4 linked regions of the Rhinolophus ferrumequinum genome follow. The protein of the gene in region 1 purifies or fractionates together with the protein of each later gene. This does not show direct contact. Links are inferred from orthologs where the notes say so. Each region holds a gene or a part of one and is shown in the gene's direction. Other genes may lie near its edges.

Region 1 (7,364 bases):
CAGTATAGCACACGCTGTTCTAGTACACTAAGTAGGAATTTTAGGTATAAACAATATATATTTGTGTATTTGAGATAAAACACTAACATGGTTTCACATTAGCATTCTATTTCTGGGAACATACTTATAGCACTAATTCCTTCTAGTGTTTTCTTGACACTATTCCCCTTACCCTTCTCCTTATTAAAAAACCACTAGGTTCCCTTTCCTCCAACTAGACTCTGACTTTTACTTAGGCTTATGATTTTTCAGGATAAGAATATCTAACACTTGAACCAAGAGCTCAGTCTATGTCAGGCACCGTATTAAACACCCTACGTGCACAATCTCATGTAATTCTTATGACATCATTGTAAGAATATTATATAAAGTTGGGATAATATACAGGTATACCTTGTTTTATTGCAATTCACTTTATCACACTTTACAGATACTGCATTTTTTACAAATTGAGTGTCAAGCAAGCCTATTGGTGCCATTTTCCCAACAGCATTTACTTACATCATGCCTGTGTGTCACATTTTGGTAATTCTCACAATATCTCAAACTTTTTCATTGTTATATTTGTGATGGTGAATATTACATACACTTAGTTGACAAAGCAGCAGCAGGATTTTAGAGGATTGACTCCAATTATGAGAGAAGTTCAAAATTGGGTAAAATGCTATCAGACAGCATCACATACTACAGAGAAATTGTTCATGAAAGGAAGAGTCAATTGATAAGGCAAACTTCATTGTTCTTTTATTTTGAGAAATTGCCAGAACCACACAAACCTTCAGCAACCACCACTCTCTGATCAGTCAGCAGCCATCAACATTGAGGTAAAGACCTTCCACCAGCAAAAATTTCTGACTTGCTAAAGGCTCAGATGATGGTTAGCATTTTTTAGCAATAAAAAAATTTAAGTTCTGTACATTATTTTTTTAGACATAAAAAAGTGTGCTACTTATTGCACACTTAATAGACTACAGTATAGTGTAAAAAAACTTAACTTTTACAGGCACTGGGAAACCAATCTGACTCACTTGATTGTGGTATTTGCTTTATTGTGGTCATCTGGAACTGAACCCACAGCATCTCCAAGGTATGCCTGTAATAACAAAAAGATGAGATGATTTCAAATCAGTTATATAACTTACCTGACTTCATACAGCTACTAAATTCTGGAGCCTGCACTGGAACGTAGGCTCGCCCAACTCCCCAGCCTACTCTCTTACCACATTAATCCTATATTATGCTATCAATTCCAGAACTACCTGTTAGTTTTAGCCTATTAGTCGTTGAAGAAAAATAGGCCGTTGTGATTTGACCACCCTGTAAGTACTACATCTGCCTAACTCAGCTAATGTCCCTGTAGCTCAGTTTCCAGGTGTCTGGTCTTTTCTGTAGCTCTTCTTTCCACTTCCTGCTTCTAGATCATCCTCAAAATTTATTTCTCTGTTCTTGATGTTAGTTAGATTAGTGGATTCCAACATACTGTCTCCGCTTCCTCCTTTGTTCTAAGTATGTCTCCTGTATAATTTTCCCCATTAAGATTCCTATACAGCTTTCATATGAGAAACCTATGGTGTAAATACACACGTTAAAAGACAATTGCCATTTTGGAGACAATTTTATTTATTGCTTTTCTTGCTATTTATTGCTTTCCTTAAATACCTGTCATATTTAAGAAACTTCCATTTATATACTTCAGTATAATTTTAGGGATTCTAAACCAGCACCTACCACTATAAAGAGTGAAGAAACATTCTGAATATCAAATAAGTGTTATAGTCTTTCTACTTAACAATGTGAATATTAAATATTTATTCAACAACTATTTATTGAATGTCTATACATCAGATACCACCCTAGACACTACCTTTTTACCCTTCCACCCTTTCCACACCATCTTTTTTTGGTGAAAGTACATTTTTTAATATTAAAAATAAATTTTCTCAACATGATACACAAATTTATCTTAGAAAAAAATATATAAACAAGCAAAAATCACACATCAGTAACAATCACTTTCAATACTTTTTATGAATATCCTCCCAAATTTTCATCTATATTTTTGAACTATTAAACTTCTTTCAGTAAACATTATATAATGAACATTCTTCTACATTAATAATTGTTCATTTTGTGGGTGTACAATAGTTTTGGGGGTATTTTAATTATTTTTATTGGGGAATATTGAGGAACAGTGTGTTTTTTCAGGGCCCATCAGCTCCAAGTCAAGTCATTGTCCTTCAGTATAGTTGAGGAGGGTGCAGCTCAGTTCCAAGTCCAGTTGCTGTTTTCAGTCTTTAGTTGTAGGGGATGCAGCCCACCATCCCATGCAGGAATTGAACCAGCAACCTTATTGTTGAGAGCTCACACTCTAACCAACTGAAACATCTGGCCACTCCGGTGTGCAATAGTTTTAAAATCATATTTTCAATGTTGGATTCAGACTGTTATTAGATTTTTGCAATTACAATGTGAAAACTATTATGAACGTGATTGCAGGTACAGTAGTTCCTCGGTTTTTGAACGTCTCCGTGGACGAACATTTCGGTTTACGAACGCCGTCAACCCGGAAGAAAATGCTTTGAATTACCACCATGCCTCGGAAGTTGAACATGTCATGCAGCTTCCATTGAGTGCAAGATCCTGAGGCCTACCTGTCAGCTGATTCCCAACATTTCAGAACTCAAACGGTCTTCTGGAATGGATTACGTTAAAAAACTGAGATACCACTGTATTTATCTTTTCATATTCCTTATAATCTCAGAAATAGCATTTCTAGTGGGCTGGAAGACATTTATCCACACCTCAATTAAAGAATTATCATTAGATTATTTTAAAAATTTGTAAGCTATATATTCAAAAGGAGATCCCTTCTGTTTGAAATTCTAGTTAAACAACCAGTTAGCTTAAACCTTAAGTCTCAAAAATGTGTCCCATTTTTTAATAAACACTGATAAAATACTGGACAAGGGGATACAAAGATGAATAAATACCTGTGTAGGGCAGATGATTTACTGTAATATGCACATCTGTAATCAAATTGCATACAATGGACTTAAATTCTATAGCAGTTGGATACAGAAAGCTGGGTTTCAGAGAGCCTCAGACTGTGCAAATAATTAGTACTGATTATCTCTTCACACTTAAGGAGACTGCACTTTTTTTTTTCTTTTTTCTTGGGGAATATTGGGGAACGGTGTGTTTTTCCAGGACCCATCAGCTCCAAGTTAAGCCTTCGTTTTCCATCTCATTGTGGAGTCATTGGTTTCATCTAGTTGTGGAAGGCGCAGCTCAGTGGCCCATGTGGGTATCCAACCCGCAACCTGGGTGTTATGAGCACTGTACTCTAACCAACTGAGCCAACCAGCTGCCTGGAGAATGTACATTTTCATTTACTGCTTGGTGGTTAAGGAAAAGACACAACCCAGGGCCTCGCTTCCTTATTTATTGATTACTCATGTTTCTCACTTTACATGGTAGAATACACACAATTTGTTTACTTTCAGCATATAAATTCAGAGGAAATATCTTCTTTGTATCGAAGTAGAAGGTATTGAGAAATTGTTATGGCTAAAATGTGAAAATTAAGAGGAAAATAAATCAAACTAATGGGCATTCCTCCTTAGACAAAAAACTGAGACATCACTTGGGATAACGATAACGTCACCAACGCTGTGGCGTCACGCCTGTAATAAAGCATGGTACTAGAAGTGTTAAAGCCAGCACAGTCCTCCAAGTTTCAGTAGGTGATGCAAAACCTGGGCAAGTTTTCAGCGAGCGACACCAACCCAGGCCACGCCAAGAAGACACCGCGGCCGCAGACACTGAGCCGTTATAGAAGCGCGTTAAGAGTGCGCTCGCGTCAAGCCACTGAGCCGAGGCACAAACCTGTCTCAGAGCTCTCGGTCGAGGCCCCGCCCACTCTCGTACAGGCCTCGAGAGGGGCCGAAGGGGGCGTGGCAAGGGGAAGGAGAAGAGGATGCGCATGCGCATTCGCAACCCAGTCTATTAGCCAACTATCAATCTCGCGAGGGTTGAAAGTCGGTGGCGTAGGCAGTTGTCCTGGATGCTGGAGAGGTAGATGATATTGACCGGAGGAAGACGGGACCGCGAAGCTATTTCTTCGCCTCGGTCTTTTCTTCGCTTCCTTTTCCCCTTCCCGCAACCCTCCGCCCTCCTGTTAATCAGCCCGCCTTTCCTGACCTCAGTGACCCGGGTGGCTCCGCCCACTCTCGTCAACGTGATTCCCGCCGTGAGGTAAGCGCCGGTCGAACCCGATCCCCGCGGAAGAGGACGACGACGAGACGAGGAGGTTGCTGGTCCCGGTTCAGGCTCGACCCGGAGCCGCTGCGCAGAAGGCATTGGTTCGTTCCTCCATCAGTTCATTGAGACGTAGCCACCCCGGCCTAGGCCTCCTGATCCCTGCCGCGCCCGGCCTCCGGCAGCAGCGGGTGACGCAGACGGAACATCATGTCCGCGGCCGAACCTCCGCCACCCCCGCCTCCCGAGAGCGCGCCTTCCAAGCCCGCAGTCTCGGCCGCCAGCAGTGGAAGCAGCAACAACAAAGGCGGCCCCGAGGGCATCGCGGCCCAGGCAGCTCCCTCAAAGGTCGGCGCTGGTCCCGCTGACTCGGAGATGGAGGTAAGGGTGGCTTTGGGCACAGGGAGAGGGTGCAGTGGGGAGAAGGAGCTAGTTCACTTGTCTGCATTTTAGTGATCAGACGCAGGGCCGTACTTCGTACTTTGGGGTCCTCTCTACCCCAGATCCGCCTCAGGCCCTTTGGACCTGCAATGATGCTCCTCCCTTGCGTCCGGTGCTTAACCTGCCCAAACTGACTATGGGTTTCTGGCACTTAACATTTTTAGCGAATCTTGCCAAATCTTCGAATGCTCTTATTAAACAGATGTTCTTGATTACTGAGGCCGAGAACGACCTACCCGTTGTTTTTTTCCCTCCTAGACTCCCATAATTCCCTCTTCCATCTCTGAAGCAAGGTTTTAGTTTCTAGTAAACTTCGGGGACGGGCGAGGGAGCTGCCCCTGAGGAGTGAGGGATAGACGGGCGGGGTGGGAAAGGGATTTAAAATCAGCGCATCCTAGGACTTGGGCCTCCTTTTCCTCATCCTGGTCCTTGCGGGGGCGGTGTCTGTTCTTGGCAGAAAACAATGGCGAGAGCTGGATGGCCGAGTGCGCAGTGGGGATAAGCTGGGCGCAGCTGCTCCAGTGAAGGGAATGGAGGCCCCTCCCAGGCACTGTTCCGTTGGGAGGGAGGCGACCAAGGCTGCAGCAGCTGTCTTGGACCCCCATCTGATTTTGAGGGAGGGGGATGGATGAATGGGTGAATGAATTAGTAAGTCAGGGACAGTTGGTTGGTTGGCATTCAGTCCAACGCAGTTCCTCTTTGGGGGCCTTGGACTTTCTTTGAAAATCGGTACTGCTCGCCGCCCAGCCTGCCTTCTGGACGGGTTGACCAGAGGATGGTGACAGTACTGGGGAGGTGGAAAGATTGGGGAGCTGTCAGGTGGGTCTCTTGGGTGTGTTCCAAGGTTTTGTGATGTCTGAATAAAGTGATTGCTTGCTTCTTCCAAATTTTATTCTTGGCCTTCGATCTGTTTTGAGATATTTTATAGTCGCAGCCCAAAGATTTCTGGGATTTTTCCATCCTTGGATAGACAGAATGAAGGTAATACTGCTTTGAAAATGAGCCTTGATGCAGAATTAACCCAATAAGGAATTGTTAGTGCAGTTTACCATTGAAGTATTTGGCGCAATAGTTTTGTTTGGTCACCGAAGGTCTAATTGAGGGTGAAGTAACATGTTGTAATATTTTTGAAAGAACTTTTAGTGGTGAGGTAGGTTTTAGTGGACTAGGACATGTGATATTCTGTAGTTTTCAGTGGTTTGAGATTTGTTTAATATTCCTATCTACCGTTGCCTATTTTTTTCCTCTAAGGCTCTATATGGTTCTTTTAGATTACCAGGGAGGTTTAACTTGGATTCCTGCTCTATGCATGGCTTAAGGGGATTTGAAAACCTGTGACACTGAAATTGTGTCTAAATGCACACAATTCTTTGCAAAATGATGTTCATTCATAGTTTTCACTGGCTTTTCAAAAGGGTCTGCCATTAAAATTTTGGAATAACCAATGTCTCCCTAGAGATCTTATTTAAATATCAAAAGCAGAGTAATTTAAAACCTAAATATTTTGCTATTTTTAAATTAAAGTTGAATTAAAGTTTAAGTATGAATATTGACGTGATAAGTACCGTATGAAGTCAGTGGTATGTTTATTTGCTAGATGATGAAATTGAGGCTGCTGCTAAGTAGAACCTGTGGTAGAACCTGTGTCAGGCTCTAAGACTGACTCTTTTCCAACATATTTTGTCCTGTCAGATTCTTAGAAAAAAGGTGGTTAGCAATTTCATTTATTGAAGAATGACTAATAAGTTTTTTTACCTTAATATAGCAATATCAGTAATTTTGTCTTTTATCAATCTCTTCACTAATTTTAGTTTTGATTTTTTTGTGTTTTCTTTTCACATAGTGTGATTGGGGGGGTGATCTTTAAAATAAATGTACCTTCAGTCTGTTATTTTTGTTTGTCTCTTAACTGAATTCAGAAATCATTGAGGTTTACTGGTAAAAACTAGGTTTGCGCATACATGCGTAATACATCTAGCAATCTGTTTCGCAGTTGGAAAAAAAATTTTAATGCCATTTTCTTGTTTGAAAGTAGAATTTAAAGTAGGTTTTTTCCAAAATCAGAAAATAAATGAAATCATGCATTCATGATTTTTTCTGGCAAAGCTGACCTTCCCAGAAATATTAGCTAGCTTTCCTATGTATTCAGTTAATTTTTCCTTTTTGCTTGGTACTGATAGGTCAGCGAGCAATCTTTTTGTTGATTACTATGATCTTTTTGGTAATGTGATGAAGCCTATCTTCCATCATCCTCATCCCTCACTACTGACTAGACTGGTAGAGAAGTATATGCCAATAAACTAGACTGACTATATGCCAATAATTGTATGAGCTCAAGTCCTGGTCCAAATCTTTCTCTTTTTTTATTAACTATGAAAGAAATAATGACTACTTTTGGAAAGCACATTTTGTTTTTTTTAAGATGTACTTGACCTCTCATGGTATTCTACTAACATTTTGTGAAGTAGGCCAGGTAGGTAGCTTTGTCTGTTTTACTTGTGGATACCAGAGATTTGTGATGAGTTTTAAGGTTACACGGGTGCTTAAAAGTCTTAGCAATGAACTTAGACTTGAATTTAGATAATTTGACCCTTTAATTCTAGTACTGTACCAGCCCCTCCCCCCACCATTTTAATCATGGGTAGCTTTATTACATAGTATGTATT
Region 2 (8,069 bases), on another chromosome or scaffold:
CATTTGTACCATTCTTTGGTGAGAATGCCGAGAGTCGTTCTCACCACAGGCACCGTCCCCCTGCCAAACTGAATTTGGGGCTTTGGGTCAGGAACCCAGGAGGCCTAAGAGCAGCTACCTGGCTTCTTTCTTAAACCTGTCAGCACCCCCCCCCATTCTCTCCCCACCTCACCCCTCAGCACTGGGCTCTCTACTTGGTTACCCGTCCAGCCGTCATCCCAGTCCTCCCTGACTGGGCAGCCACCCCAGACAAGTGTTGCCCTTTCTCTTTCCAGCTGGCCAGCCAAGATCTGCTGCTTTCTCAGAGCAGCCTAGCAGCGCTGTGCCCACTGCCCTGGTGCCCTCCTCCCTGCTCTGACCCTGGCTTGTTAGAAGGGCACCGTAAGGCCATTTGTCTCAGAGAAGGGAAGGATGCTGTGTATGTTCATCCCCCTTCTCACCCGTGTGTAGCTGAAGCCGTTGGTATGTGTCCCGCTGATTACCCTGGTGCCCGAGGGCCTGTGGACCATGGAGGACATGCTGATCAGCTACTTCTTGACCCCAGACTTCATCAGCAGCTCCTGGGACTGGATTGGACTGTACAAGGTGATGTGACGGGCATGACAGGGAGTCCCTCTGCCACAGCCTCAGGTTTATCCATCCTGAGGGCTCACAGGAGCTGGGCACAGACTGAAGAGCTCACCCTTACTCATCCCAGGGTCCTTGCCCACCTAGGGGCTGGCAGTGAAAGGGAGGGGGCATACAGCATGATGGCCCGACCTAGAAATGAGACTGTCCTCTCCTTAGGATGTGCCGTAGGTCCTGGGTACTCCCAGACCACTGACCACCCGCTCCCCCCTCCCACAGGTGGGGTTTCGCCACATTAATGACTACGTGTGCTATGTCTGGGTCAAGGACAACGAGGTCTTCTTCAGTGACAAGCTGAACCAGGTACCTGCCCCCCTTCCTAACCTAGGTATTCCACAACTCCAGCAGCTGGGCTTGCCTGAGCGCCCCTCTGTCTTCTGGAGCACACAGAAGGCTGGATAACTTGTGGCTGAGAACTGGGTGGGACCCAGGCTTGGAACTGACCCCATTCCTGTCCATCCTCCCCTCCAGGTGTACATCAACATTAGTGATATCCCTGAGACTGAGGACCAGTTTCTCCTGTGTTATTATAGCAACAATCTACGTTCTGTGGTGGGGATAAGCAATCCCTTCAAGGTAAGGCATGCTGGTGGGGTAAGGAGAAGGGTACGCAGAACCCCTCATCCGTTCCCCGAGGCCAAGGGCCGAGGAGTCAACCCGTACCTGGAGCCGCAGCGGTTGGGGAATGGGAGTGATGGAACAGCGGAGGAAAATGTGCTCTTTCCCCTTCCACTCACTGCCTGTTCTATCCCTGCAGATCCAGCCTCACGCCTTCTTGGAGAAGGACCCACTGGGTGAAGCCCAACCACAGATCTGAGCTGGGATGAGAGGGAATCCAGGGCGGAGGCCAAAGCTGGCAGCCAGCTCTGCTCACCACTGTCAGGAGCACTAGGGGCCCAGCCCAGCCCCTTGAGGAGGCAGCAAGTATCCTTCACCTCCCAGGGGGAGCTGTGGCCACACTCCTGTGCTCTCTCCAGTCCAAATCTCTGGAATTGGCCACTTAAATACAGGTTTTGTTGCTGAGACGTAAGTGAAACCAGCTAGTTTGTCAACAGTGAAGACCTGGGGACAGTCCACCGGATGTGGCAAGGACCCTGCAGCCTGCATTTCATTTCTTGGTTTTCCCCACACACACACTTCCAGCCCTGCCCAAGCAGGCCTGCCAGGCACATGCCCCATCTGGCACAGGCCTGCATTCTTATCACGCCATCCTGGGCCTCAGGCTGCCTGGGAGGCGGAGACACTCACACTTGTACAGGCTCCATAGACTGGTTGGTGCAAACAGCACTGGCCTCCAGGAATCTTGGCATCTCATTGCCTAGCTCCCTAAGGAATGGGCAGAGGGTCTGGGATCCTTGATTTGAGCAGAAGCAGTAGGACCAAGTGGGCAGGATGGAGGGGCCCCTCTACCCAGGCTTTTCAGTAGGGGTTGTGGGCAGGTTTATGACTGTCCTTCTGCCTGCACCCTCCTGCCCCCCCTGGATCTGACCTAGGAAATTCCTGGGCCTGAGCAGAGCATTGGACCCAGGTTCACTTCTGCTGGTGGGTCAGGCTCCATGCCCCCAACCTGCCCTTTTGTGAAGGGTTGGCAGGTGGTAGAAGAGCTATGGCCACAGACTTTTCCAGGGTGGTCTTTGCTCAGTGAACCTCATCTGGCTCTATCCTTGCCTGTAGTCACTAGCCAGAAACCTGCCCTCCCTCTAGACGACTCCGGGACCTAGAAGTGGGGGCAGGTAGACAAGAGAGCTGGAATTAAGACGTTTTGGAGAATCTGGTTCTGGGGGTCTTTAGAGAGCATTCTCCAGGTGCTTTATGGATGTGGCTGTCCCTGCTCCTACCACTTGCCTGCAGCCACTAGTGGCTCGGTGGCCCTTTTCCCAGGAGAAGACACCTCAGAGAGCCTACTCTGTGACTCATGCCAATCCTACAACCCAAGACTAAAGAACACTCCAGTTCTAAGTTCCAAGAACTGTCCCCTGGCTTCCGGTGGTCCATGGCTGTGTTCTGTGTATTAACATGGGGGGATAATTAGAAACATGGCTTTTACCCTGTGTGTGACTCCTTCTTGATGGGGGGGGCACATGGTGACGGGCCCTTGCTGGACTCCAGGACGAGCGCCCTGTAGATCCAGATTGACTTCCTGTGTCTGAGTGGCAGGTGTCGCCTGGATGGCAATGGGATGAGTGTCTGGGTTCCTGGCCCACGTGAGGCGTGCTACCGTGTTTCCCCGAAAATCAGACCTAGCCGGACCATCAGCTCTAATGCATCTTTTGGAGCAAAAATTAATGTAAGACCTGGTGGTCTTTTACTATAAGACCGGATCTTTATAATATAATAACATAATACAATACAACATAATACCGGGTCTTATATTAATTTTTGCTCCAAAAAACGCATCAGAGCTGATGGTCGGGCTAGGTCTTATTTTCGGGGAAACACGGTACCTATTTAACTAGGCACTTAATTTACTCTGCTGCTAAATAGAATGGGTTGCTTAGAACTACAGCTCTCGGAAAAGGTGCTTACTCTGCTCTCACTGGCCCATCCCGCCTCAGCTGCCACCCCCTCACGCCTGAGTCTTGAGCATAGGTCCTGGGTTAAGCTATCCAAAAATGCCATCATTTTCCTCTGCCCCCCACCCCCTCTACCCCAGAGTTCCCACGGTAACCTCTATCCCTGCTCCCAACACACACCCACCTGAGGAACCCTCATCCCTTGCACTTGGCCACTTCATTCCTTCTCACATACATAACCATCATGGGTGCTGCCACATAGCACCCTTCATTTGGCAGACAGGGAAACCACAGCTCAGAAATGGTGTGATCCTTTTGAAGTTACACAGGCAGCAGTGGTGTCATGCAGGACCAGAAACACAGGAATTGAGTCAAGACCTGGTTTGGAATCTCCATCTCTACCAACACAGGAGTCTCAGTTGTCTGTAAAATACAAATAATGTACCTATTCACAGGATTATTGTGAGAGAACAATTGTTAAAAAAAAAACCAGAGCAACACTATTATACCTACCTGGGGCTGGGTCTCAGGGCTCCTGTCTCCAGGGTCCCATTTCTCCTGCGTGTGGAGTGTGCTTGTCTACACGCCCACCTCTCTCCTTCCCTCTTCAGTCTTCACTCATTCCTACTCCTGCCTCCGTTGCAGAGCCCCTCCCAGCCTGGCAGGGGTGAGTCCAGCAGTGATTGAGAGGCGGGAAGGGGAAGGGGGAGTGCTTTCCCTCATCTTGGCTCCAGTCAGGATATGGCCGCTCTGGGCCCAGCCCTGACCCGCTGGGTGGAAACAGGAAATGTGAGAGACTTGGTGTGTGCTGGGTCTCTGTGCCTGGCTCCAGGGCTGATAAGGGCCATTGTGTGGCTGCCGGGGATGAGCCTGCCCTGGATAGATGTGCTTCCCGGAGGAAGGAAGGAAGCTTTGCTGGTTTTTCCGGGGCGGGGGAAGCTGTGAGTAGGGAAGAGAAGGGTGCTTGGGGGAAGGTGCCTGCGGAAGGGGTTGTCAAGGCCAGCGCAGGCCACTGGACTCCACCCCTCCTATGCCAGCATTTCCCTTCGGAGGGTTCCTTTCTCCCATCCACTTCCCCCTTCTCACTTCCTATAAGGAATGGCTGGAGACCCAAGGGCTCAGCCCCAGGCCAAGAAAGTGTCAGCTGTGATTTAGCAACTATAATAAAGATAGAAAAATAGGAACATTCAGGGTGGGGGCACCTGAGGGTGCTAATGGAAAAGTAAGGCTTGAACAGGGCTAAGGCTGCCCACAGCCAAGGAACCCAGGGACTAACCTCCCACGCCAAGAGTTTGAGGCTCCAGAGGAGGGTGGGACGGGGCTCCTCACAGCGCCCTTGCCTTTCCAGTGAACCCCCTCTGCCCAACAAGGCCTGCCCCCAGCAGCCCTGACCTTTCAAACTCAAGGGGCTCACCTGCTGCTGTGGAAGGCAGACAAACTCAGAGGGGCTTGCAGGAGGGGCAGGGCCTACCGATGGATCCTCTTGGTTTAGGGCAGGATATGCATTCTGGTTTGGGGAGTGATCACCCTGCTCTCCAGCTGACACCAGTCCGTAGGCAGAGGGAGAGGCCTCCTATCCTTTGACCTGGAGCCCAGGGTCCCCCACTGGTGGCTGCATCAGCTGCTCTGGTTACCTGGGACAACAGGCATTTCCTCCATCCCTCAGCCCCTCCTCTTCCTGCCTCAACCGGCTGGGCCAAGAGGCCTCCCAATCAGACCTGGGTTGCTCCAGCTGTGTCCTGAGGAGCTGGACCAGACACATCCCCTGGGGCTAGAATTGAAGCTGAACCAAGTGACCATCCCAGCGTGAGACTAAATTCCTGGTTCCAGGAGCAGCCAGAGCCAGTGGGCAGGCAGGCAGGCTTCTGCTCAGAGGCCCCGGTGCTCAGCACGCTGGCTATCCACAGGCGGAATGGCACTGCAAGTGGAGCTGATCCCCACCGGGGAGATCATCCGTGTGGTTCATCCCCACAGGCCCTGCAAGCTTGTAAGCTGGGATGTTCTGGACTGGGAGGAAGGGTGGCAGTGTGTGCCCAGGGCCCAGCAGCCCTCTCTCACGCAAACCCCTTGGGAAAGAGGTGAGCAGTGGGGAGGGCTTCAGCTCCTCCGTGGGACAGGAACAGACTGGACAAAACGGGTAAATGGGAGGGAGGGGTAAGGTTTTAAGCGCCACTATTAAGCACCACTAGAAGCAGGGTTTTTCAAAGTGGGGAATCTGGGTTTGAACCCCTTCTTCTGCTCCCTGATCCTCAATAGGCTGGGCTATGAACTGGGCATAACAACATCTAGGTGACTGGGCTGCTCTGAGGTCAAAGGACCTGTACAGGTAAAGCTCTCCAGTGGCGTAATACAGGCTTGGTTAATGCCTCCCCATTCCCAAAGAACTGGGACTGGCCAGCTCAAAGCAGTGGTGTGGACTGGACGGAGATGAAGTGCGAGAGGTAGTCACAAACGTGGAACCGAGCTGGCCCAGCACGCAGGGTAGGGTCGGGTTTGCTCTGGGATGCTAAGGGGTCCTAGGATGAGAAGGAACCTTATCAGACGCACTCACCCACCCACCCAGCGCTGCAGCGAGTGGGCTGGGTCTTCCCTGGAAGCCGGTGTGTGTGTGACAGAGAGACAGAGACTGTGACGCGCCTTTTCCCGGGAGCTGGTTGCCGAGTGTAGTACCAAGTCTCCGCGGACGCAGACGGGGGCCAGGGCCAGGACCAGGGCCAGGACCAGGGCCAGGACCCGCCGGCGCGGGGTGGGGCGGGGCGGGAGGGTGCGCGCGCGCGCCCGGGTCTGGGCCCAGCCTGGGATGACGACAGGCAGCGGCCCGGCCCCGGGCGGGCCCTGGGCGGGGAGAGCGTGCCCGGGCCGCGGACTCCAGAGCCGGCCACGCCGCCCAGCCTGGCCCCCGCCCGCGCACCCAAAGAGCCGAGCCGGTGGGTACGCTGGTCGCGGGCGCGGGGCGGGCAGCAGACGCGTGGCCCCGGGAGGCCTCTGTTGGCGCGCAGGATGGGGGAAAGGGCAGGCGGCTGGGCGCCGAGCCAGGCCCAGAGCTACCGTGCGGGAGGCGGGGGTCGTGGGCCTGGGGATCGCTGGGGCTGAGGGTCGGCTTGGCCCGGGCGGTGCCGGGTCCCAGGACCCGATGACGCCAGGGCTCGGCCTGGTGGAGACTTGGATTACTTGCGGGTAACGTGAGGACTGCAAGGAGAGGCTGGGGTTCCGGGACCCAGGCACCCAGCGCGCCCTTTGGCCGGGCTCGGACTCTGCCTCTGGGTTCCGGAGAAGCCTCCCGAGCCCCGCCCCTTCCCGTTCCCCGCCCCCGGACCCCCGCACGCCTGGGCGCGTATGACTGTAGCGGATGGGGGGCTTTGAGATGAATGAGAGAATGAATGGCTGGCCCACGGCCTTATTCATCTGCCGGCATGCTCTGGCCTCCTGCTCTCCCTGCTGGCTCAGTGATTCATTCATGAACGCAGGCGTCCACGAGGGGTTATTGAGCCCCCACTGTGTCAAGCTGGGTGTATGTCCCAGGCAGAAGCAGTCTTCTGGAAGAGACTTGACCAGGAAACCAGCGATTAGAGCGTAATGCGATAAAGAGGGGCCAGAGTGTTGAGGGTAGTCAGGAAGGGGTTCTGGAGGAGGTGATACCTGAGCTGAGTCTTCAAGGATGACTAAGAGTCAGTCATTTGCGGAGGGGAAGTGTGCACAAGGGGAAGGAAGCTGCAGGTGCAGAAGCAAGAAGTATAGCCACGTGTGGCTAGTGGCAGGGGCTGGAGCAGCTCATCCTGGCTGTGTGTAGTGGTGAGACAGACATAGGGAGAGAAGGACTGGAAAGGGGCACCCCTGTGGTCACACAGGAACATAGGAGCAGTGCGGTAAACTGAGGACAGAGGGGGGCGCTGGAGTCCCTATGCCGGGGCCTGGCAAGAAGCATTGGGTATGAAATACAGGCTTGGCACATGGACTGGTGCCCTATAAACCTTCACATCTATTAACATGAGATGTTAATTGATCGGATTGTATTTGTAAATACCACAGGCTGCTGTGGGAAAATGGATTAAAAGGAGGAAGGCAGGGAGGCCAATTTAGAGGTTGCTGCCTGGTCCAGGAGCAGAACAGTGATGGAGGAGCACAGGGGAGGTTTTAGCAGGTAATGACTCCTTGATGTGAGGAGTGGAGGGAGGAGGGCCTTTTGATACCAGGTGGTAAAGACTAGCTGGAGGTGTCTCCCTTCCCTCTACATACAGGATGTTGAACAAGGAGAGTAGGTTAGGGGGCAAGGTGCTCTGTTTACTTCTACTGGACCACCAGGCAGAGGTGTCTGGCAGGCCAAATACCCACGGTTCTGGACCTAGATTGTACAGCCCTTGAATGGAGCCCTGTGAGCAATTAGATAGAGCCCCATCCCCCGTCACAACAGTTCCCTTGGGTCTGGAACAGTCCTTGGAGGGGCAGCCTGGGCCCAGACCTAAGATATGTTTGATAAATATAAATTGAGCACCTGTTCTGTTCCCAGCACTGCACCGAGGGTGAGATAGGCTATGGTTTTTTCCACTGCCCTAACAGGCTATGTGGCTGTCTCAGTAAAGATCAACTTATAGCAGTGATCTGGGGGTCCTTAGAACACCCTTTCCAGACTCACGAGGCCCTGGGCTGAGGGAACATTTGAGGCTGCCCATTGCCCTCTCCACTCCTCCGGAGGTCAGACTTGGGGGCACCTGGCCCACACTAAGTAAATGGATGACTCAGGTCTGCTGGGACTGCCCCATCCCCAACTCAGGGGTCATAGCTACACAGCCAGCCAGCCCCTAGGTCCAGGGCCATGCTGGGGACCCAAAGGCCATGGCCCACACTCCTTAGCTGCTACTCCTAAGGCCTACTTGTCAATGTCACACAACACCCATAGGGTATACTGGGCATTGCAGTCACGGGGTCACT
Region 3 (8,117 bases), on another chromosome or scaffold:
TCCTTGTTCTTTATGTCTTATTTTTAAAAACAATAATAAATCTATGTGGCTGAACATAGGATTTGTTCTGTAAATTGGTATATAATTAATCATTAACATAAGCAATCTAGAGAGATTTTTGGAAAGTGTAATTTAAATTCTATTTCCAGGTTAAGATGAAAGCAGCCATCCATCTGACTCTTTCACTGTAATCAAATTAAACTTGTATTTTCTATATCTATCTAACCATTCATCCATCCAACAAATACATATTGAAGTCCTGTCATGGCAAAGGCACTATGCTAAGTCCTGTAAAATATTTAGCACAGACATTTTTACTTTTTATTTGTAGTTCTAAACTTATTCCCAATTGTGAAGTGAAATAATTTATTACATCAGCTATCTGTCCTGACCTGCCTCTTTACCGTTTGATCTCTGTATCATAAAAAATTTTATTCATCTTTCCACAATGAAGTCTCCCTTTCATCCCTGTCCCCTAGCAACGCTTTCCCTAAAGGCAACCAGTGTGTTATTTTCCTATATACTCTTCCAGATGCATTTTATGTATCAAGCAAATATGTATATATTAAAATCCCATACATATTTTTTTCTGTAGCTTTTTTTTTTACTTCCTCATTCTTTCTTATATCTCCATACTATTCCACTGCATGCCCTTTATAAAGGATGTGCCTGTTGCAAATCTGAAGGATGAAAAATGTCATCTCAATGTAGTTTTAGTTTGTATTTCTCTTATTTTTAGTGAGGTTGAGAATTTTTTATGTGTTTTAAAAGCCATTTGTATTTTCTTTTCTGTTTTTCTTCAGTTACTGTGATTTTACTATTACTTATATAATAGGGAAATAGCAAATTATTTATATATTAGGAAATTAGCCTTAGCCCTTTGTCAGAGAATTGCAAATAATTTTCCCAGTTTGATATTTGTCTTTCAAGTTAGTTTGTGATAGCTTTTGTAATGCAGAAATATTTATTTTTATTTTATAGAATTATCTTTATGGATTCTGGACTTTGTGTTATACTTTGGCTTTCCCAACTCAGATAATTTTCTTAAGTTCTTCATGGTTTCCTGTAGTACTTTGATGACTAACGAACATTCTTAATCATTACAAGTCTAAATTGTTTAGTGCATAGGCTCAAGTTCCTTGTTTCAATTTATATCTGAGCTATTTAGCAAGCCAGTCCCATGAAAATATAGAATAGTAATAAGGAGTTAGGACTCTGGAGCTGATAATTTGAGCTTTTCTCCTTCTGGAGTGTATGACGTTAATTAACCTCTCTGAGCCTCAACAGCTTCATCTGTAAAATGGAGATGCTAAATCGTACTTAGTTTGCTGTGAGAATTCCATGAGATGATTCATTTAGCATAATGCTTGACAAGCTGGAAGCATTCATTAAGTGTAAACTATTACTGTCATAATGATGGCCATAGACAATTCTTTCAACCCCTACTACCATCCCATAACTCATGACTTTAATCACAAGGGGTTGAATAAAAAAATGCATTCCAAATTTGCCAACATTACCACTTCAGCACTAACAATCCAATCTCCTCTAAGCATTGTAGTTCTTGACCATGGCAGTACGTTAGAATCACTCAAGTAGAATTTTAAACTCCAAATGCCTGGGTCTCTACCCCAGAGATTGTTTTAATTTGTCTAGGATGTGACCCATACATCAGTATTTTTCAAAAACCCCTTTTGTGATTTCAATGGGCAGCTAAGATCTAGAATCACTACCCTAACACTAGGCCAGGTTTGATATGAAGAGAAACATATTCATTGCTACTAAAGAAACATATAGAAATCTTTCATAGTTAAAATGCCATGAATCAGGAAGACATTAAAAGGAGAACACAGAAGTGTTGAGACAGGTGTCAGAGATATTGAGGAAAGGAGTTATGAAGTTGAAGATATTCCTCGTATATATTTATAAGACATCTTTCTCAGAAGAGCTCAGGGAAGCTATGCTCTAAATACTTTTATAACTGCTACTTAGAGGTAAGGGACATGAAGTATTTATACTATCTATTAGATGTGTTAGCTGAAGAAAGGAGCTAGGACTCATCAGCTGTTCAATTAAATAAATTTAAGCTTCCTATTATCCCCATTGTTTTCCTGGATAACTCTCAAAAAAAATATTATTTCTGATCATGAGTAATATATCTTATCCCCTTACACATTTTACCAGTTTAGAAAGTATTTGGAATGGTACTGTAGCTTATTTATAGGTACAGTGTAAGTAGGATATACAAGATAATTAGATATTACCGAATTCAAGGAAAGAGACACTTGGTTTAGAGAGTGTGGACAAGGAGTCAGGAGATCAAGATACCAGTTCCTGAGCTTCAGTTTCTTCAGGTGCAAAATGAGAGAAACAAGAGTTCCCAAAGGTTTCCTTCAGGTGTCTCGCCAAGTCACCTAAGTCTTTCTTAATCAGTCAATTGAATACAGGAAAAGTATTCTAGCTCTAGCTTTTAAAATACTTATTTCATAGTCTTGTTTTGTCTTTACCTATACCTTTTCGAACATTAAACTATGCCTTGATGATATTAGATTAATATATGTATTGTCTAACTAGTATGTTTACATTCTAAATTTAATTGGGGGCCATTGTTGTCTTCACCCAGAGGGGTAACTAACTAATGGGGGGGGGTATGTGCATCTTGAGACTGGTGAGGGTATGTTGGAACATGAGCTTTCTATTGCTCTTCAAATCATGCCTTGTGATGCCTGCATTTAGGACCAATTCTGGGTCCCCCTTCTACATATTCTTCTAATCTTTTCTACTTCTCTTTTTGCATTATGTTACTCATGATCATTAGGACGCACACAATTCTTGTATTGGTTGTCTTTACATCACCTCTACAAGAGTATACATTTTTTGAGGCCAGGATACTTATATTATATCCCTTACATGAGCTAGTACAGTCTTGGCACATAAAAGGAGACTGATAAATATTTGAGTAAGTTGTTAAAAAAATAATTTAAATTTCATTGTCTTCTCTTTTTTCTATGCTACTGTAACTTTCACAGTTTGCTTTATAATATTTCCAAGTTTTTTACACAGTCTTATTTCATACTCTTATTTCACAACAGTATCTTTTAACTACTTTCTGAATATAGCAATAAGCTTTTCAGTCTCAAAAGTCTAGAAGTAGTAATTAAGAAAGCAAGGACATAATCATGATACCAAAATACAAAATAAATAATGTATTAGGTAAGCTTTTAGTAGTAAATGTGTAGGATAACTTCAAGAGAAGTGTTATTTTGAGGTAGCTTAGGTATGCTATCAATTTGATCCAGTATTACATACACATCAAAACTAAACTTTGTTAATTATAATTTACTAAACTTACATTATTCTGAGTTAATAATAAACAACTACGTATAACATTTATTAAATATCACAAAACATTTAAATAAATCCTATATATGTAACTCAGAAAACTGAGCTATGATAGTACTGAAATTTGAGTATAGTAGGAGGGAAATTGAGTATGATAGTATTTTGATGAAGTAAAATAAAATTTCAATTTTAAGTTAGTAGAAAAAAATCCAATTGTTTAAAAATCTGTATTGTCTAAGAGCTCATATATGACTGACTAAAGCTGTTAGCCATTTGTCAAGCAAATGAAATGCCATGTTCTTTGCTATTATTTTACTGTGGTGTTTTATTTGTTAATTGTATAGAAGTTGTGTATTGAAATACAGTCATGTTCTGTTTTTTTTAAAAATCTGTATTTAATAAAAGAAAAAATCAACATTACAATTTTTGATCATGATGTTACCAAAATTACTTTAACAGCTTATCAAATAGTGAGATCTAAGAAATACAAATATTATTATATTCAGAGAAAATTTCATCTGATTTTAGTTTAATAGTTAAGCTGGGATTTTGAATTGTGAGAATGATGCTTCAATAGTGGTTAAAAATCATCCATCCTCCTTGACCCCCTTTGAGTCTACCTTTGTGGGTTCTTGAAAGAAGTTAAAAAATGATAATTCTTGAGATTTGGATAGATTACATTTTCAGCTCCAATGGACACATGCACTTAATTTGAAGATACCAAACTAATCCCAATTTTTTTCTGTAACTATGGTCATTTCACAGTATTGGTAGTTACATCCTTTTGTTAAATGACTGTTCTTCAAACTTAATGTCTTTTAGACTCATTCTTTCATATTAATCAGCAAAGAAGCAACTGTCAAGGGCAGTAGCAAAAAAAAAAGACCATTTAAAACAAAGCTGGCAAACATTTGGAGTTATTTGTAGTTTTGAAAATTCTTAATTTAAAAGTCACATGTATTATGTGTATTAAAATTCGTTTCACAAAAGGAAATTATAGATATGGTAAAGTTTCTTTAGAGGAAATTTCACTAGTAAATCCATCTTTAAAATTTGAAGTGATTTAATTAACTATTGATCCTTTGCAAAATATTTTCAGGGGCATATTCTAGATACAACTTTTTAAAGGTGTGTTTTTTAGTTTTAAATATGTGGGGGGTCCAATGATGACATTTTCTAACACACTTTTTTGATCTTTTCCTCTGCTAAATCTTTGAATTGCCCTCTCTGAGTATTAAAGAGAACTGCTGTCAAGTAAGGTACTTTTTCAAGATGGATGTTTACACAAGCAAAATATTGTTTTAGACACTAGAATTCTAATTTTGAATAAAATATCAAAATACTTTTTATCTTATTCCTCGTTTCTCTTCCTATGTTTAAAATACAAGTTAGATGTTAATTGTAATCATTTCCCCCTCATATAACCAAGCGATGGTACCAGGCTTGAAGATGAAGGCTTTAGTTTGTTAGCCATGTGTTTATGAAACCCCAGCGCTTCTCCTAGATCTTTTGGCTGATAATCTCAAACATGGAGGATGCTTCTGATTCTTCACAAGGGGTTGCTCCATTAATTAATAATGTAGCTCTCCCAGGCTTTCCGCCGTCTCTTCCTGTATCAGTGACAAGCTGTAAAAGTCATCGAGTAGCCAATAAAAAGGTAGAAGCGAGAAGTGAAAAGCTCCTCCCAACAGCTCTTCCTCCTTCTGAGCCGAAAGTAGATCAGAAACTTCCCAGGAGCTCCGAGAGGCGGGGAAGTGGCGGTGGGACGCGATCCCCCGCGCAGAGCCAGGCCGTGGCAGCTGGAGAAGCGGCGGCCGGGGGCGCGGCGGGGCCGGCGAGAAGCGACCCCCCAGGAGGACAGAGCCTCCCCTCGCTGCCTTCGGTAGTTGAGAAGGTGGAGAAGTGGCAGTAGGCGTGCTCGCAGGTGAGGGGCTCCGTGTGGTCGCTCAGGAGCCGGCCGGCGCCGGCAGGGAAGTGTAAGCGAGCGGGCGAACAAAGCAGAGGGGCGCCGGGGTCCGCCCGCAGCGAGCTCCCTTGCGGCGTCGGGCTGGCCGGCTCCGCGCCGAGCACGTTGTGAGCCCCGCCGCGGCGGCGGCGGCGGCGGCGGCCCGGGAGCCGGCGCTGGGGGAGGGGGGCGCCGCTCCCGCACCGCCCGCCAGCGGCGGGGCGGCCAACCCCATTGTGAGCCGGCAAACGGGCGTGCGGAGGTGGGGCGCGCTGGGAGTGCAGAGGCGGCGGCGGCTCGGCTTGCTTAACACCCCGGCAGCGACCGAAGCGACCTCGGCTCCGGTGGCAGCCGCGGCGCGTCAGTCACACAAAAGGCAGTCGAGCTTCCCCGGCGCGCGGACCGGCCCATGCCGCCGCCGAGCGCTCCCCACCTTACCGGCTTTCCTTTCCCTCCAATTTTGATAGGGAAGCGGGGCCGACGCGGGCGGCCGAGGGTCGGGGTGAGCCCGCGGGCGGACGGGAGATGCCGCTGCTACACCGAAAGCCGTTTGTGAGACAGAAGCCGCCCGCGGACCTGCGGCCCGACGAGGAAGTTTTCTACTGTAAAGTCACCAACGAGATCTTCCGCCACTACGAGTAAGGGCCCGGCCGGGCGCGGGGGGTGCGAGGGAGTGTGGGGACTCCCTCCCCAGTGTCCTTTTGTCTCCCCTCCCTTTCCTAACTCTGGGCTTCTGGCGGGGCGACTAGAAAATGACGGGTGGCCTCAGGCCCGCGTTTCTGAGCCCGACCCGGTGACGGCGCGGGGTTCCAGGGCGGCACGACCCGCCGAGGTGCGTGTAGGGAGAGCGGGCCGGGGACGCGGACGCTAGGGTCGCTGGCCCGCCGTGTGGACCGCTTCTAGCAGCGGCTGCCGCCCGGCAGTCGGGCGGCGGAAACTCCCCGCCTCACCCCTCCCCGCCGCGGCCACACGCGCACTTCGGGGCCAGTTCCGGGATCCCCGCCCGGCAGCAGAGGGGATCCCCGCTCAGGTCAGCAGCACGGGGCCGCTGTCCCCCGGCCTGGGGAGGGAATCCCCGCCCCCGGGGGCAGGAAACGGCCGGGCTGGGAGTCGTTTTCTCGGTCGGGAGTGGAACCTGACGTTGGAGCTGCCTAGGGTAGGGGCGGGGGGGGAGCGGAGTTGAGAGTCAGGAAAGGAGGGGCCTCGCTGGGGGCCGTGGGGCCCGGGACACGACCCTCTGTCGGCGGCCTCCTGTCTCGTGCGGCTAGGCCTCGGGGTATACGACGCGAGCCGTGCGCTCTGTCACCGCCTCTTCTTGGTGACTAACTCCCGGCCCCGGGGAACTCAGCGTCTCCGCCTCCGGGAAACCGGGTGAGGAAGAAGTCTGGGCTGGGCGGGGGAAGAGGAGGGGGAAAGAGCAGAGCCCTGGGTGCCCCTCGTTTTCACTTTCGAGTAGCCGGGTGGGCCGCGGTGGGGGTTGGGGGGAGGGGGTTAAGACAAGTTCAACTCCAGCTTCAGCCCAGTCTCTTTTATCCCCCTGCGCATGTGGGCCGCCTGACATGTGCCACTCGCTATTGTTTTGATAAGAATCCGGAGCTGTTGCGTGTGTAGTTTGAACCCCTACATTTTCAGTCTCTTGCCTGGTTTATCCCAAGGGATCCCCTTGTCCTGTGATACTAAACAACTGGGTGTTTTTAGAGATACGTTTTTAAACACAGTTTTTCTCCAAGTGAGAACCTGAATTGATCAATCACTGAACTAGCCCCTATCCCCCTTTTCTTATGCTTTATTCTCTCCACTGAGAAGGAATCTTTTGTGGCTTAGAAACCAAGTGTTACAGCAACCAAATATAAATTGTGTGTAAGAGGCACCTTTTCTGAGTGGGGGCTTGATCGAGGGAGAGCTTTAGTCAAAACTGCACCTGTCTGAGAAATGAATACATAGTGAAGTTAGTAAAGTCAATTCCTGTAAGCTTTTAAGTAAGCCTTCTTTGTCTTCAGCTCCACAGAAAATTACACACAAACATGTTATATCTAGAGAAGTTTTTTAGCAGACAGTACTTCTTAAATAGGAGTGTACATCTTACTCTGCTCCTGTACAGACTTGTTTTGTTACTCAAATAGAGTTCACTCTTGTAACTACTTAAGTGAATTTGGATTAGGTAACTAGACAAGGATGATATCTTTTTTTTTTAAGTTTAAATTAAAATCTTAGTAATCCAAATTTTTAAAAAATTGTATTTAAATACGAGTGCCAACAAAATAAGAAATGGGCCTAAATTTCAAACTCTTCTCGCCTTTGATATAAGCAATCTTGTCTTTTTTAAGAGGCCCTTCTCACTTTAGAAGAGAGATTGAACATGGCTGTTACCTTTTTTAAACAATTTTCGTGTACTTTGGTTCTTGATTATTTACTATAATCATGGAGAAATTCAAAATGCTGAAATAAAGGAAGAGATTTTTGGTAATCCAAGTCTTACTACTTTCCATTAATATTAAGGAACTGTGTCCTTTGTAGCATTATGACATTAAATTTAAAAAAATAATTTTTTTCCCCCTCTGTGCTGACTTTTTTTGGGTTTGGGGAAATTGCAAGCAGTTCAGGAGAGGCGATTGGTTTGGGAGCAAAGATATTTAATTTACTCTGAACAAGCAGAGCTACTGATATTCTTAGGTATTAGTCTTTCTGATTTTGAATTGGCAAGATTGGAATAAGACTGCCATTTCATTGTCTTAAATTTTGAGTTACTTTATCTTTCTCTCAGATGATTACAAAGAGATCTGCTAAAATACTGTGTATTCATGGTGGATATTATATGGTGGTCTGCAGT
Region 4 (7,656 bases), on another chromosome or scaffold:
TCAATCAGGGTTGGGTGACCTGACTAAGGTCACAGAGCTGATCACTTCCTTCCTAAACCAGCTCCCGTGGTGACTATGAGTCTTAACTGCAGGTCTGTGAGCTCTCACTCTCCAAGTTACCCAAGTCCAAGTCGCCTCCTGTTGACTTCCCTCTCTGTGTGTCGTATCCCATCCGACCTAATCCCCTCAGGTTGAAGGAATCCTCCACGTGATGGGAGCTGAACGCCAGGTACTCACCATCCTGACCTTCCCTGCAGCTCGACCCTGTACTCAGCAATCCCCCTCGGCCTTCGAACTGGAAGCTAGCAGTGCTGTGGAGCAGTGCCCAGTGCCCAGGGGGGTGATGCTGCCAGGACAAGCTGGGCCTGGTGCCCGGCAGTAACAGCGTGCTGTCCTCACTAGTTCTGTAATCTGATTTTGGACACTTCCTGGTTGCAAGCCTCAGAGCCTGGTTTTGGGGCACTCCCAGAGATCCTGTGAGCTTAAAGGACTCAGCATGGGTTTCTGTGACTTGCAACCAAGAACCAAACTGATAACAGAAATTGGAATCAGAGTGGTTGTAGGCCATAGGTCTCAGGGAAATGGGGTGGGCGTGGTCTGTGACTGTCTAGTCTTTTGAGGGTGATGGTAAGGAAAATGCATCTAGTGTTGAGGTATGAGACTTAAACACCCTATATCAACTAGTGGCAAAACAATTCAATGAAACACCCGTGTCTTTTGGAATTAAAGGCAAGTCTTTAGAAGAGTGAGTGGCTGTAAGCCATAGAACTATACTGGATGTGAGGAATTCAAGGACTGTGGGGTGCGGTGGTTTCTGACAGTGCTGGATACTTGGCAGCTCTCTCTGGATTTAGAAGACTACATATACCACATTGGTATGTGCTGCTTTAACCCATTTTCCAAGTGACCTGAAAGCTTGCTAACGTTGAGCCACAGCACAGAGCAGGAGAAGCTTCTTCAGCAGGTCCAGGCTGCATGCACGGTGCTCTGCTGGTTGGTCCCCAGGACCCGGTGTATCCAGTGCTCGGTGTGCGGCCACATGCTGGGATGCAGTACAAAGCCCATGACAAGCCCCCCAAAGAGCATCACTATGATTGTACTCAGGGTTTCAGAGCAAAGCCTGGCTCTCTTTGGCTAATAACCACTCTCCTTTTTATAAACTGTTCTTAAATTGCTCCTGGGCCTGGACAAAGATTGGAACCCTGACCACAGATTACCAGGTGACCATGTAACTTAGTTGGCTTATTATGAACTGTCTTATTAAGTATCTTATTAAGTATCTGTCCCACTTAGCCATAAAATGCCCTGTAGCAATCCCTTCCCCAAGAAGACATGGGATATAGAAGAGCAGCTCTGAGTAGGTCCTGTAGAAGGCACAGGCGTGCAACTCCCAGTATGTTCACTCTCATTTTACTGGCACCCCTCCCTCAATTCACATTATGGAAAACTCCCATGACCAAGTGACTAAGGAGGACATTTGAGCTTGGTTTACAGATAGTATCAGCTGGGAGGGGACTGCTAAGGTGTTATAGCTATACTTGCAAGTGGCCTTGCAAGGGCCGTGGGAAAAGGAAATCTTCCCAGTGGGCAGAGCTCTGAGTTGTTCTCTTACGGTTCTCTTCGCCTCAAGAAAGACTATACCAGTTCATGGGCGAGGTGGTCAGGGATTCAGGTTGGTGAAAAGGAGGTTTGGGCGTGGATGTAGGTGAAACTCTCAGAACAGACCTAGAAAGTGAGAGTAGCTGTGTTCTGTGTGAATAGTTATCCTAATGTTCCCACTGCTGAAGATTTAATGTTAGGGGACAAGAAGACCCATCCTATGGAAGTAGGTCCAGCTCCTTCCCTAGTCAGGCCAGTGTCTGCTGACTGGGGTCGTGAACTGACGACGATCATGGGCTTCTCCTTGGCAAGGCTGACCTGGCTATTGCCACTGCTGAGTGCCCATTCGGCATTCATCATTATAGTGGCTCCTTGCTATCCTGGTGGGTACAGTGAATCAACCTCATTGGGAAGAGGATTTGCTTTTCCCACCATCCTACGTGAGTTTACTGAATACCTTGTTTGCCGTCATGGTATTTTAGACATCATGGCATCTGTCTCAATCAGTTCAGGCTGCTATAACAGATATTCCTAGCCTGGATAGCTTATAAACATTAGATATTTATTTGCTACAACAAATTACCATGGACTGGGTCTTTTCAAACAACAGACATTTCTTTCTCACAGTTCTGGAGGCTGGAAGTCTGAGATCAGGGTGCCAGCCTGGTCGGGTTCTGATGAGAGCACTCGTGCGTTGCAAAGGGCCAACTTCTCACTATACACTCATGTGGCAGAGAGCAGGGAGGGAAGGCAAGCTCTAAGCAAGCTCTCTCCTGTTCTTAGAAGGGCATTAATCCCATCATGAGGGCTCCACCCTCATGACCTCATCTAACCCTAATTATTTCCTAAAGGCCCTACCTCCTAGTACCGTCACATTGGGGAGTAGGGTTTCAACATTGGGGAGTAGGAATTTGGTGGGGGACACAAACATTCAGTCCATCGGACCACAGCACTAACTTTAGTGAAAGAAGAAATTGGCTGTCCTATCAGATTCACTAGCCCCATTGTGGACCCCAATAACCAGAAGGAGCTCACTTTACGGAAAAGTAGAACGGCCCATGGAATACACAGCTCTTGAGTCAGGAGCAGATAACAGCTGGAGAGCTTGGATCCCCTTTATTGTTGGAACCAGCAATTCTGGAGGTGTCCATATCCTTCTCATGAGTTTCTTTTCTGTTTAGATGAGCCAGGGTCACTTTCTGTTGCTTGCAATTAGAAACTCCAAATAATATACCTTTCATTGTGCCATCTGTCATAATTTTTTCTGATAAACAGGTTCCTCCACTATTAGTTTGTGAACACAGAAGGCTGTCACCATTTCTTTCTAGTATCTTCCCTATGGTACACGGCACTACATAGTGTAGGACACAGGTTGCAAACTTGTAGACTCTGGGCCATATATTTGAACTGCATTTATTTTGATCAATCCGAAGTGTTTATAAAAAATTGACCTAATGGCCAACACTTAAAAATCGTGAGATTTCATATGCAGTGCACATTTCCACCTTCTCTTGAAAAATTTGACGACCTGGCTATTTTAGGCCCACATTCCCACAACTTCCTTCTTAAAACAAAACACAGGCACTTCCATTTGACAAAGTTTTCACTCACTTTATGAAATTTCATTACTTACCTGGTCCCTGAAGGCGTATGTTTGTCACCCTTGGTGAAATATATGGAATAAATTAATTTAGCAATTAATGCTTGTATTTTCATTTCATACACGCAGAGTCCTTTCTTTCTAATGACTAATAAGCCACTTAGTGATAGGGAAGAAACTTGGGTAGTCACATATATCAGTAAATATTGTTTATAAAACCTTTCTTATTTAGAGTTATCCTTGACCATGGCGAGCTGAATGCCCCGGGTTTGGTTGAGGGGGTGGCTAAAAATTCATCATCTTGATCAGTCCCCTGGGCTAAGCCGAGACCTGATGATTTCTCAGGTAAAAAAAATTACTTCCTGATAACACAAACATGCATTTTGAAGTAGGTTTTAGGCAAGAAGTCACCCTTTCTACTACTGCAAACGAGAAACTGGGAGTTCTTGCTGAGGTGGCCGACTTTCTAGCCGGGGTCCTGGGAAAGGTGGGAGGAGACTGGGACGTAGCTGGCGTTCCGGAGTTTATCCGAGGCTTTTCGGGTGGGGATTCTAAACTAAGGAGTCTCGGAGTGACTCCCTGTGGGTCTGGCGGCCCAGGGCGTGGTTCCTGGCACAGCCCTCCAGCAGTTGTCATTGGGATCAATTTCAGGACTCCAGAATCAAGCCTTCGGAGTTTCACATTTCTGGGGGCTCGTCGCCCCGTCCCCCTCTTAATTTCCCTCCGTCGCAGGACCTGCTCTATCCCCCCTCGGTCCTTCTAGTTAACCCCTCTCCCCCCGCAATACCCTCTCTGGCTCTTTCAGCATCAGTTCCCCCATGGGGGCGGGAGGGGGATACATTTGGGGGTTCCCCTTCCCTTCCCTCCGAGTCGGAGACGGGGGGAGACGCGGGAAGGAGGCCCTGCTAAATTCAGGCTCCAGCGGGGGCTCCGTGGAGGCAGTCGTCACCGAGACCTTTGGCGCGGGACACTTCGCGCGGGGGAGCGCCCCTCGGGTCCGTGCCGCCTGCGTCTGTGGTGCAGCCGCACCGCGCGGAGGCGTCCCGGGCTCCCCGCCCCCGATCCGGCGCTCCCGCGCTCCCCCTAGCGGCCGCCGCGCGGCCTCGCTCCGTCCCAGGCTCGTCGGCGGCGCAGCTCACGTGACCGCGCTCCGGGCCTGCGGCCGCTGTCGGTTCCCCCAGTCACCGAGCGAGAGGGAAGAAACAAGATGGCGGCTGAAGGCGATCCGGAGTGGGGCCCCAGCAATTCGGATTGAGCCTTCTCCCTCCACCCGCTTCCGCCGGCCGGGCCCCTCCCGCCCGGCCCCGCGGGCCTCCCCACCCGGCCCCGGCGCCCCCCACCGCCACCCCTCCGCCCGCCCCTCCCCCCTCCGCTTTCCCTTCTCCCCCCGCCTGGGCTCCAACATGAGGGGCCGGCGGGGCAGGCCGCCCAAGCAGCCCGCGGCTCCCGCTGCGGAGCGCTGCGCCCCGGCCCCGCCGCCGCCGCCTCCGCCGCCGCCCACGTCCGGACCCATCGGGGGGCTGCGCTCGCGGCACCGCGGCAGCAGTCGGGGCAGGTGGGCCGCCGCCCAGGCTGAGGTGGCGCCCAAGACGCGGCTGAGCTCGCCCAGGGGGGGCAGCAGTAGCCGGAGGAAGCCGCCGCCGCCGCCGCCGCCGGCCCCCCCCAGCACCAGCGCCCCGGGCCGGGGGGGGCGAGGAGGCGGGGGCGGCAGGACGGGGGGCGGGGGCGGCCACCTGGCCCGGACCACCCCGGCCCGGAGGGCCGTCAACAAAGTGGTGTACGATGACCACGAGAGCGAGGAGGAGGAGGAGGAGGACATGGTCTCCGAGGAGGAGGAGGAGGACGGCGACGCCGAGGAGACCCAGGATTCGGAGGACGACGAGGAAGATGAGATGGAAGAGGACGACGATGACTCCGATTATCCGGAGGAGATGGAAGACGACGACGACGACGCCAGTTACTGCACGGAAAGCAGCTTCAGGAGCCATAGCACCTATAGCAGCACTCCAGGTACCCACCCAGCCCCGTTGCTGCAGACTCCTTCCCCACCTCCTCTACCCTCCCCCTCTACTCACTCCCTCTCTGGTCTCCCCCACCCTCACCTCCCCCCCAGCAGAGGGGAAATGCGACGGCACATCCAGTGGCAAAAAACGAGATTTACCAGAGGATAGAGGCGCATTGTTCAAAATGGAGATTGCATTGTTGCAGTTTGCAGGCCACACACTCGCTTGCTCTCTTTCTCTACCCCCAACCCCCTCATTTTCCTCTTCAAAATTTGTGCCAGTGCAGTGTCTCCATCGGGCAGGATTGAAACTTTGGCACACATACCCATTGCATTCATTTTTCTCCCCCTTGTTTTGGTTTGGTTTTTTTTTTTTGGAATGAAAGAAGCCTCTTGTTTTGCAAACCTCTTTGCATTTCTAATGTGGTTTCTTTTAGCTTTTTATTCTATATCTGTTCCTTAAAAGGGAATTGAGGATTTAGACAGGTTGTGGCACACAGACATACACATACAACATGTTTCTCTTCACACCCTAGCACACCGTGTGGTTTTAAAATCGTGTTGAGGAAATGGATCAGTTTGGGTTAGTAGGGGACCCTTATCTGGTCCTGTGTGTTTGTTTTTATTGAGTGCTAATGGGCTCGTGCAACAGTTGCTGGTAAATGGCTGATTAAAAAGCAAAGCAGAAAACCAAACAAAACCAAAACAAACGTGGTAATTCACCCCATTCAAAGTCATTTTGGGAAAAGCCAAAATAAAAGTAAGGAAGCACGGGAACCTGTGTCTTAATTAAGTTTGATCCCATTGCTTTGCCTGGGAAATGCAGTTTCGAGTCACCTGTTGCAGGAGATGTACAGTTGATCATGCAGACACAATTGCCGAAGATGAACTTTTGGACCAACTTCTAAGTCACACCGCAGAAGGAGGGGGATTTATTAGAAAACGAATTTTTTTTCTCATTCCTTTTCGAAGGATAAAAATCCTCCCTGGATCTGTAATGAATTTCCCCATGGTGACTCCTCCCCTATTTTCTCACAGAAAGTTTCTCTAGGCTGGTGCTGAGATGCGTTTTTATTTTTTAAGCCACATGATTGCTGCTTTGTGTTAAATACATGGTTGAATCTTACTAAATTGTGAAAAAGGCGTAACTTGTAGCAATAACCTACAAGATTTTTTTCCTTTATATTTTTGTTTATCTGGATTAACTAAATTAGAACCCAGTTTTAAGAGCATTTACAAAGTAAAGTTTTTGAGGAAATAGGATCTTAAGGTGTGTCATTTGTTTTTTTAAGAGAGACTGCGTAGTAGAATATAGCTGCTCGTGCAGTCAATTTAAATATTTCCATTTTCTATAAATGATTAAATATTTATTGGCGGAGTATGATGATTAAACCAGGTGTAGTTCCATTTAGATTGTCTTAACAGCAAATGAAAAAGGTAATTTCTTTTGCCAGACAGTAAGAATATCTGCCTGTCTGTGGAGTGGGGGTGTTGGCAGGAGAATGAAGGGAATGAATCAAGTGTCAACTTTTTTTGTCTTGTCTGTAGCAGGGACGATGCCACTTTTCATTTCTTGCCAACTTAATTTTAGTATGTCATTTATAGTAATAGTTTTTACTTTTAAGAAATCACATGTGGTCTTCTGTACCAAGAGCCCAGAATTGAAACCCCTGGAAACTGAATTACATGATCCCAGGCAGTTTTTTTTCAGGTTACACAGATATAAGGTGTTTTGGCAGGGCAGTTCAGCTAATGTTAACTTCTCTTTGAAGGCCTAGCAAATTTAGGATTGGTAGCCATATGTATGCTGAATTAAATTACAATTTGTGTTTCCTTTTTTAAAAAATACTTGTATATTTGTGTACTTACATGACATTTTTTCTTAATGACATTTATAGTTTATCTTGTGTATACTTGTCCTATCTTTATATGAAATTAAAGATTATACATCCTTATATTAACCTTACATCCCCTAACTTTCCTGGCGCAGTGTCTTGGCATGCATGTAGCGGATGCTCATCAAAGATTGGTTGGATAAATGATTGTTAGTAGGTGAGAACTTGTAACAGATGAAGTTTCGATAATGCTACAGTGGATACCATAACTCCTAAATGTTTTGGATTTGGGAAACTGAAAATTGGTCCTGTTAGATTTTGATAGTTTGATAGTTTGAAAATTGGTCCTGTTAGATTTTGATAGTGAATGTTTTTGTAGCAGAGTTAGTGTGTTTTGAGCTGCTATTTCATATTGCTTGCCAGGCATTTTCCTTTCTTCATTGGATGTGATATTAACTTGTTGGTTGTTTTACTTTTTGAGACATTATTTCTCAAGATCATGGTAGAAGGGGTGATACATTTTGTGTTTTAAACTTTAAGAATGTATCCACTTTCCTACAGTGAGGAACAATCCATGACAGTTGTTTTGGCAAAGCACTAATTTCATATGTTTTTTTGTC

What was found.
Region 2: the proteins of SMARCA5 (region 1) and MYO1C purify together in Homo sapiens (affinity purification with western blotting; 3 studies listed by BioGRID, with this or other methods). This does not show direct contact. The link is inferred for Rhinolophus ferrumequinum from reciprocal best matches to the Homo sapiens genes SMARCA5 and MYO1C.
Region 3: the proteins of SMARCA5 (region 1) and BAZ1A purify together in Homo sapiens (affinity purification with western blotting; 8 studies listed by BioGRID and IntAct, with this or other methods). This does not show direct contact. The link is inferred for Rhinolophus ferrumequinum from reciprocal best matches to the Homo sapiens genes SMARCA5 and BAZ1A.
Region 4: the proteins of SMARCA5 (region 1) and BPTF purify together in Homo sapiens (affinity purification with mass spectrometry; 4 studies listed by BioGRID and IntAct, with this or other methods). This does not show direct contact. The link is inferred for Rhinolophus ferrumequinum from reciprocal best matches to the Homo sapiens genes SMARCA5 and BPTF.

What each region holds. Positions count from the first base shown.
Region 1 is NC_046301.1:17,881,626-17,888,989, forward strand, and holds the start of SMARCA5 (SWI/SNF-related matrix-associated actin-dependent regulator of chromatin subfamily A member 5), read left to right. Parts: upstream 1-4,060; 5' UTR 4,061-4,467; coding exon 4,468-4,638; intron 4,639-7,364. UniProt on the Homo sapiens protein: ATPase that possesses intrinsic ATP-dependent nucleosome-remodeling activity.
Region 2 is NC_046304.1:16,396,648-16,404,716, forward strand, and holds the start of MYO1C (unconventional myosin-Ic), read left to right. Parts: upstream 1-4,844; 5' UTR 4,845-5,052; coding exon 5,053-5,127; intron 5,128-5,929; exon of another isoform or gene 5,930-6,067; intron 6,068-8,069. Other genes in the region: INPP5K (inositol polyphosphate 5-phosphatase K), read left to right, coding at 451-585, 847-930, 1,099-1,203, 1,385-1,444.
Region 3 is NC_046289.1:83,112,394-83,120,510, reverse strand, and holds the start of BAZ1A (bromodomain adjacent to zinc finger domain protein 1A), read left to right. Parts: upstream 1-4,870; 5' UTR 4,871-5,266; intron 5,267-5,754; 5' UTR 5,755-5,812; coding exon 5,813-5,925; intron 5,926-8,117. UniProt on the Homo sapiens protein: Regulatory subunit of the ATP-dependent ACF-1 and ACF-5 ISWI chromatin remodeling complexes, which form ordered nucleosome arrays on chromatin and slide edge- and center-positioned histone octamers away from their original location on the DNA template to facilitate access to DNA during DNA-templated processes such as DNA replication, transcription, and repair.
Region 4 is NC_046304.1:43,234,146-43,241,801, reverse strand, and holds the start of BPTF (nucleosome-remodeling factor subunit BPTF), read left to right. Parts: upstream 1-4,404; 5' UTR 4,405-4,602; coding exon 4,603-5,209; intron 5,210-7,656. UniProt on the Homo sapiens protein: Regulatory subunit of the ATP-dependent NURF-1 and NURF-5 ISWI chromatin remodeling complexes, which form ordered nucleosome arrays on chromatin and facilitate access to DNA during DNA-templated processes such as DNA replication, transcription, and repair.